Callithrix jacchus: one gene and its partner. The protein of the gene in region 2 purifies or fractionates together with the protein of the main gene of each other region. This does not show direct contact. Links are inferred from orthologs where the notes say so. Each region holds a gene or a part of one and is shown on either strand. Other genes may lie near its edges.

Region 1 (3,815 bases), on a different chromosome or scaffold from region 2:
TTAGACAATTCCTTGAGGACAGAGACAGGTCTGACTTTTTTTTTTTTTTTTTTTTTTTTTGCTGTGTCCCTAACACTTAGCACATAGACATTCTACAAAAATTTGCAGAGTTATTACTTGCTCTTTCAGAGGAAAGTAAAAGGGCATTTCTTGGCATCTGGGTAGAAATTAAAAATATTCTGCAACTCTTTATAATATGAATCCTTGGGACTTTAAAAAACTTACAAATTGTTTAGATAAGTATTTTAAAGGACTAAAACTTTGGGGTTTTTTTATATATAGGTATTTGGTTAACGAAAACATACACATAAAACACATTGTTTACTTTTCTCTCTTTTTTTCTTTTATGCACCTGTGACAGAGTAAAAATAGTCTCCACATACCTTCTTTACTCTCCCCCAAGCTCCCACCCCAGCACATTAGTCTTTACAGAAGAGGTTTCCCTTAGGAAATCAGTACAGTCTTCAGTTATTTCATTGTCTTGATACTGGCTTAAAGCATTAAAACATCCCTTCTGGGTATAACTTGTCACTCTCAGGTCTAATCTGATATACTCTACATAGGTTCCAACTCTTAAAATCACTGTTCTTGCTAGTGTATCTTATCTCTACTCCTAAGCTTAAACTGATTTCTATTTCCCCAGGTCACTGATAAAATAATGATTAAGCTTTTACTTTTCCTGAGGCTATTATCTTAGTTACCTGCCGTAACTAATGAAGAAATCACTTAGCCTTTTTTCCTGGTTATGAATATTCAGTCGTCCATTTCCCACTGTATTAACAGAGTTGAATTATTAAAGGAGACTCAAGAGAATCACAGCTCTTAACCAGAACAAACTGCCAAATAATCCAAAGGTTATAGGCAAGCATCAGGTACAGCCAAAGCATTCTTTTCCCAAAAGAGCTTGAACACATCTGATGCAACTCCCAAAAGTATCTTTTTTCTCCTCATTACTAGGTGTTTTGGCTTTGGAATAAATGATTAGTTATTAAACAGTATATGGAGAAATAGCTTACGAAAGGAAGTCATTTCCATTTTCTAACATCTTTTACATTGCACTAATTACACAGCTTAACTACTATCCCCAATCTTCTACCCCATAAATTTTATGTTTGTTTAATCAACCTAGTTCAACCAGATATATCCTTCTAAAATCATTTATAGATAGAGATTCTCCTTTTGCTAGTAAATACAATTAACATATTTATAGAAGGTCTGGTCTAGGTCATTTATTCCAGGCCTCTCCATTATTAGATTCATCTTGCAAATTGTCTTTAAAGCCCCTGGTATACAAGTTGGACTTTAGAATCAGAATTGATTTCAATTCAGAAAGCACTGAGGAAAAGAAAATTCGTTGGAATGACTATGTTTTTGCATACAATTGGGTATACATGAATACCTGCTTATTGTCAGTGGAAAACCTTAGCGTCAGTGGAAAACCTACAGATTCTGTGGTCAGGAAGAGTTCCTCAGAATGGATCTAAGGAAGGTACCTGATGATCTAGGGAGATGTTTTATATACTATCAAGTTGTGCTTGTGCCCATATTTTATCTTTTACAAGTTTACTCACATGTACATTAGAAATTAATGTTTTTAGTCTTAACTGTGTGAAAGTAAGCCTACAAAGATACTTTAAGTTCAGATTTCAGTGAGCCCTGAATTTCATGTTCAAGGCTGGTGAACTTTTGAAGTCAAATAAAGGAGTACTAACATAAAAATCATTCAGGAAAATTATCTTGAATTATCAGAAATTATCTTGACTTCTTTTTTTTTTCTTTTTTTTTTTAGAGACAGGGTTTCACCATGTTGGTCAGGCTGGTCTTGAACGCCTGACTTCAGCCTTTCAAAGTGCTGGGATTACAAGCGTGAGCCACCGCACCCGGCCTTGATATCTTGAATATACCAGTATAAAACAAGGAAACCAGTTACAGAGTTCTTATCATTTTCTTGGGTAAAAAGTATAAGAGTTTGAACAAAACATTGAGATGGGGGTAAAATTTTTTTTTGTTGAACTACCTACAAAGGTAAACTGGATTTAGCATTCTTTTCACTGGAATGATTATGAGTCTTTTTGGTATTATGGAACTGTGAGTAGTAGTTTATCTGACTTATTTTAGTCACACTGGACTAAAAGAGAAGAAATTTCTAAATAACCTCTTCAGATATAAAAAGTTTTTAAAACTTAGAATTAAAATGAATTCCTATGTATTGCTACTGGATACTACTACAGTGTGATTGTGGAAATTATATTTGCACGTTCTATGTGAATAGAAATGGCCATTGCTATTTCTGTTTGTCATGAAAAGCAAAATCTTGTAAGTGTATGCTACTTGGTGATTGTGGTTGATTAATAGTGCACCTAGGAAAGTCAGAATCTTAAGTTCAGAAAATTTTCCAGAAATCTTTCATTAGGTTATTTAGCTGTAAGAGATTTTTATTCCTCCCACACATACATATTCTAAACATAAAAATTGTTTTGAGATTGAACATTTTTAGAAGTATCAAAATAGAGATTTAAATTAAGGACCATTTTTTTCCTTCTATATTAGCCTATTTTCTTTAATTAAATTACCTAGTGTTACTATTTTTTTAAGTAATACATATTTATGATTAAACTCCCATTTCAGGACACCATAATGTTGACCTACTAGAAGTCTTTTAAACCCCACATTTTATTTTGGCCAGAGAGAAGTATGGTCAGGAAAGATTATGGAGCTAGACATGAAGACATCAAAATGTGAGTCTGGCAGCCTTCCAAAGAGAGCTAGGTTATGGCCAATTAATTTCTGCTTATATTACTCCAAACTGTTAGGCTTTTATAGTGACCAAGTAAGTTGATCATTTCACAAAGTTGAATGATAACATTCATTTTGCTTAATCTTTTCCATTTCCACAAATGTCTCTTCTTTTATTGTAGAATTTTTTTTAATGTTTGGCCTTAACAATTTTTGATATTTTTGTTTTTTTAAAACAGCTTACTGCTGGTTGCAGGGGGGACAGTTCTAAAAATTTGTGATTTTGGTACAGCCTGTGACATTCAGACACACATGACCAATAACAAGGGGAGTGCTGCTTGGATGGCACCTGAAGTTTTTGAAGGTAAAATGGCAAAAGTATGGTATGTTTGATAATCTCTCTCATTCCTTGTGAATTCAATATGTGTTTATAGATTTTCCCCATTCCTGGGTTTTATTTCTGCATAATACATCATTTTAAAGTATACAATGAAGTCTAAGGAGGTATTAAATAGTGTTATGTCCTAAATTTTATAGTAAGATGTAAATCTTCTGTGCAGGTTCAAGCATATGTACAGTTGATCCTCATTATTCACCAATTTCATAATTGCAAAATTGCCTATTTGCTAACCTTTATTTGTAACCCCAGAATTAATACTCACAGTGCTTTCATGGTTATTTGCAGACAGTGCTTTCATGATTATTCGCAGACAGTGTAATTTTGAGTCATCTAACACATGTTTCTAGCTGAGGTTAAACAAGATAATGCTCTTCCATCTTGTTTCAGGTCTCATGCTATAAACAGCTGTCCTTTTTGTACTGTTTAGAGCCCTACCTTTTTCATTTTTGTGATTTTTGTTGGTAATTTTGCTATTTAAAATGGCCCTCAAGCGTAGTACTGCCTAAGTATAAGAAGGCTATGATGTGTCTTAACAGACGCTATACATGTGTTAGATTATCTTCATTTAGGCATGAGTGATAGCAATGTTGGCTATGAGTTCAATGTTAATGAATCAACAGTATATATGAATAAGGTGTCTTTAAGCAGAAATACATGTGAAACAAAGTTATATTGATCA
Region 2 (4,254 bases):
CGTCTCTACTTAAAAAAAATACAAAATTAGCCAGGCATGGTGGCACAGGCCTATAATCCCAGCTACTAGGGAGGAGAATTACTTGAACCTGGGAGGTGGAGGTTGCGGTGAGCCGAGATCACGCCATTGCACTCCCACCTGGGCAACAAGAGTGAGACTCCATCTCAAAACAAACAAACGAAAAAGAGCTCTCAGTTGGGTCAAAGACAGTCATAGGCCCTGAAATCTATATAGGGAGACTCCAGTTGCACAGTGAAGGACACCGAAGCAGCCTGGGGAAGCTCCTGAATTTTGTGACACTGAGAGCTGGAGCTGAGACCTACTAAGCAAGGCAGGGCCGTGGTCAAAGGCCCATCTCGCTCCCCAGTTCTTCCTCCTTCCACTGCTGCTCAGGACACCACATCACCATGCATTTTCCTCGGGATTGCTCTGAAATCATTTTTCACTGTAAGCTGTCTTGGTTCCTAGGCTGTAAGCTCGTGGAGAGCAGCAAAATCCCGTTTGCTTTGCCACACTCTCTCCTGTATCATTCTTCTCTAGTCCCCTACCCCACCTCTCTCTCTCTCTCTCTCTCTCTCACACACACACACACACACACACACACACACACACGATCACACACTGTGAGCTCTGCATTGCCCAGTGAATGGTGAGAAATTCAGAAAGATGTTGCACTCTCTTGGTTTCCCCTTTCCCCCAACTCCAGACCAGGCTTCTATCCCTTAGGCAACATAATCCCACCTGGGTTGAAGCACCCAGGCCTCAGGCACTTTCCTTTACCTGTTCCTGCTACCTTTAGCCTCTGTTTTCCAGACAGGCAGCCACCGAGTAATTACTACTAATCAGAGCAACATACAACCTTTATTGAGTGCTTTCTACTTGCTACAGCCTATTCCCCCGATTGACAAAGCTATGAGCAGGGATTTTGTTCTCTATCACAGTGTCTAGCTCAGAGCACGCGCTTAATTAAATCGAATGAACGCTTAGCATGTATCAGTCTAGTCAATTTTCAGAACAGTATGAGGTCATGACTATGACACCCATTTTGGAGATAAAGAAACGAAAGCATGGAAGCTTAGGTTATAAGACCTGCTCTTGCTCATGCCACTGGTACGTGGGAGAGCCAGGGCCACCCCAAGCAGAAAACAGAAGCAGGATGTCAGGGCAGCTGTCTGGGTGAAGGACAGTGGGGAGAAGGGAAGATGGGGTGAAACTAAGGAGACAGGAGGAGGGAGAAGAAGAGTCAGACCCTGACGGAGACGTGCCGCTTGGGGACCTGGGGCTGGAAATGTGGGACCAGAGCGGAGTAGAGAGGAGGTGCAAGGGTACTACAGAGAAAAGATTTTAAAAAAGAGGCTCTTGGAAGTCTGTGGAGAGTGTGGGGAGATTGTTGGAAAGAAGGGAATGGTGGGAGTGGAAGAGCATAAGAACGAGGAGGTAGGCACAGCTTTCAGAGGCCGGGCAGGGCAAGGCCACAACAGGGCAGAGAAAATCTGCCCGATTTGATGGGCCCAGGGCGACTGAACGGGATGATTCCCTGACCAAGACATGGAGGGTGATCAAGGATACATTGAAACAAGGCCGAGGTCAGAGAAAGGGACATTTTCCAGTGACGAAACAACTTTCTACCAACTTCCCCAAACTGAACTGTAGAATCAGAAACCAAGGGATTGTTGTTTAGGTCTGTGGGAAGCAGGGGGTGGGGGAGGGGAGGCTGGAGGACAGGCCCAAGGACACTTTCCAGGTGGGGGTAGTGCTAGCTCCCTGTGAAGAGTCAGTCCCACAGAAGCACCTGCCTACCAGCAGGCAGAAGGGTAAGGAATGCCCCCAGGTGAGAGGCCGGGACACTGGGGCACTGTTTACTGGGTTGCCCTGCCCCATCCAGTGTCCCAGCCCATTCTCAAATACCTCCCCCCACGAGCATCCCAAACCCACCACACCAATGCGTCACGCCTGGACTCACTCTCCCCACTTCCCTAGCCACCTTACTCCTGCCCTACAGGCGGTGCTGAGCCAGCCTCCATAGGCAACCTGGCCTCCCCACAGCCCGACACACTCCAGGCCAGCCAGCTGACCACAGGGACAGGGACAGAATTCAGAACTGTCTGGGCTCCCGGAGCACTAACCTTCCTACTCCCACTCCTTTCCTTTCCCCGCCAAATCTGCCCCACCCTGGACCTATCACCTGCCCCCATTCCCGCGGCTCCGGCAAACTCCGGCAAACTCCGGCAAACTCCCACGCTGTCAGGGGCCAGGGCTTCCTTTTACTCTCTCCCTTTCGAACTTCTCCAGTTCCCCTGCCCTGCCTCAGCGCAGCCCCTACTCCAAAAGGCGGATGAATGGGGAACCCCACACTGGCAGCGGCTGACGTTAGGACCTGCTGGCCTGAGGCTCGTGCCAGAGCCAGGCTGGGGCAGGAGAGGCTCAGCCCCCTCCTGGATAGTGCCCACGCTGGCCGGGCAGGGCCTCGCCCACCAACCCACTCTTCCCTTTCTCCCTGGTCTCACCAGTGGCAGCAGCAGGTCAGTCACGATGGGGAGGCCCATGCCAGACACCTATGGCCTCTCACTCCCCCATTTGGGCTCAGGGCAGTGTGGCAGTGGCAGCGCAGGAGGCTTCCCGAGTCTGGTCTCGGTCTGTCCAGGACGTCACAAGTGTCTTGGGATGACAGTTAAGGGTTGAGACTCGGGCATAGAGACCACGGCCCGGTCCCAGTGATCTTGAACCCCAAAGGCTAGAACTGGAGCCCGGGTGCAGAGAATTCTGAGAAATTAGAGAGGAGGAGAGAGGAGGTGGGAGGAGAACAGTGAGGCAGAGTGAGGCAGTGTTGCAACAGCACACCAGGAAGAGCTGGAGGAGGAGGCGGGAGGCGGGTTAACTCTTTGTAAGCCCCAGTCAGAAGCACAGGAATCCCAGATCCGGCTGCCTTGCACCCTGAACCCACCAATCCGAACCCACCAATCCGACCACTCCCAACCAAACACCAGGGTGCAATAAGCCCCTTCCCCCATCACCAGCTTTTCCCAAATGGAACACAGCAGTGAAGAGACCCAGAGCTTGGTAGTCAGAGTCACTGGGTTCCAGTTCAGAATGCTTAGCTTCTTAGCTGGGTGGTCTTGGTCACATAACTGAACCTCTCTGGGTCTGTTTTCCAATTTGCAGAGTGGAGATAACCTGTCTCCTGGGGTTCCTGTGAGGATTCGTTCAGACCGGAGAGATACAGGTAAGTGTCTGCCACACCGCAGGTACTCCGCGTCCCTTACTGGCACTCCCCTTTATTTACTCCGGAGTTCTTCACTAGCCTCCACGCCTCCCTCTTTCTTGGGAATTTACTTGTCCAATCCAAACCTCAAAGTAAGCCTTAACCCTCGTTTTCTGTCCTGACTGGGTCCCTGCCACTACTTACCCCAGGTCTCATCCACTCTCTGCCTGGTCAGGTCTCCCTGCCCCACTGCCCCACTGCTGATCCTGGCTCTGCCACCAAGCATGGGGCATCAGGCAACTCCTCTCCTCAGCCTCTGTTGGTTCCTCATTTATTAAATAGAGGCAACAATGCCTGCCCACTACATGTGGAAAGTGATGCCATGGGGATCAATGAGACACACGAAGCTGCTGTGGAAATAAAGGTATTTCTATCAGGTGTTCCTCATATATTCCCAAGGCCCTTTTCCCAAATATTCTAATACATCAATTATAAGTGACCCTAGAGATCATTTACTCCAACCCCATAGGTTTTTTTCATTTCTTCGTTTGCTTGTTTTTCATTTTTTTGTTTTGAGGATCCACCCCGTTTCCCAGGCTGGAGTTCAATGGTGCCATCACAGCTCACTGCAGCTTCGACCTCCTGGGCTCAAGTAATCCTCCCACCTCAGCCTCCCAAGTAGCTGGGACTAGTGTTTTTTGTAGAAACGGGGTTTCACCCTGTTTCACAGGCTGGTCTTGAACTCCTGGGCCCAAGAGATCTGCCCACTTCAGCCTCCCAAAGTGCTAGGATTACAGGTGTGAGCCATTGTGTCCGGCCAACCTCCTGGTTTTATAGAGAAGAAAACTGAGATCCAGAGACCCGGTGTGCCAGGAGGCAGAGCCAGTAGAGAACACCAGACTCCCGACTCCCGGTCCAAGGGCCCCTTTGGCTAATGAGAGACACACTGCCACTTCTTCTGTCACTTTGAGTCAGACCCCACATCCTGACTCTGGGTACTTTATGCCATCCCCCCTGATGCAGATGTCTCCCCAAAGAATCCTACAACAAAG

Evidence for each region.
Region 1: the proteins of TNFRSF1A (region 2) and MAP3K7 purify together in Homo sapiens (affinity purification with western blotting; 7 studies listed by BioGRID, with this or other methods). This does not show direct contact. The link is inferred for Callithrix jacchus from reciprocal best matches to the Homo sapiens genes TNFRSF1A and MAP3K7.

Annotation. Positions count from the first base shown.
Region 1 is NC_133505.1:96,646,105-96,649,919, reverse strand, and holds part of MAP3K7 (mitogen-activated protein kinase kinase kinase 7), read left to right. Parts: intron 1-2,975; coding exon 2,976-3,100; intron 3,101-3,815. UniProt on the Homo sapiens protein: Serine/threonine kinase which acts as an essential component of the MAP kinase signal transduction pathway. Plays an important role in the cascades of cellular responses evoked by changes in the environment.
Region 2 is NC_133510.1:19,948,377-19,952,630, forward strand, and holds the start of TNFRSF1A (tumor necrosis factor receptor superfamily member 1A), read right to left. Parts: upstream 2,819-4,254; 5' UTR 2,547-2,818; coding exon 2,508-2,546; intron 1-2,507. Other genes in the region: uncharacterized protein LOC144577746, read left to right, coding at 3,028-3,060, 3,163-3,223.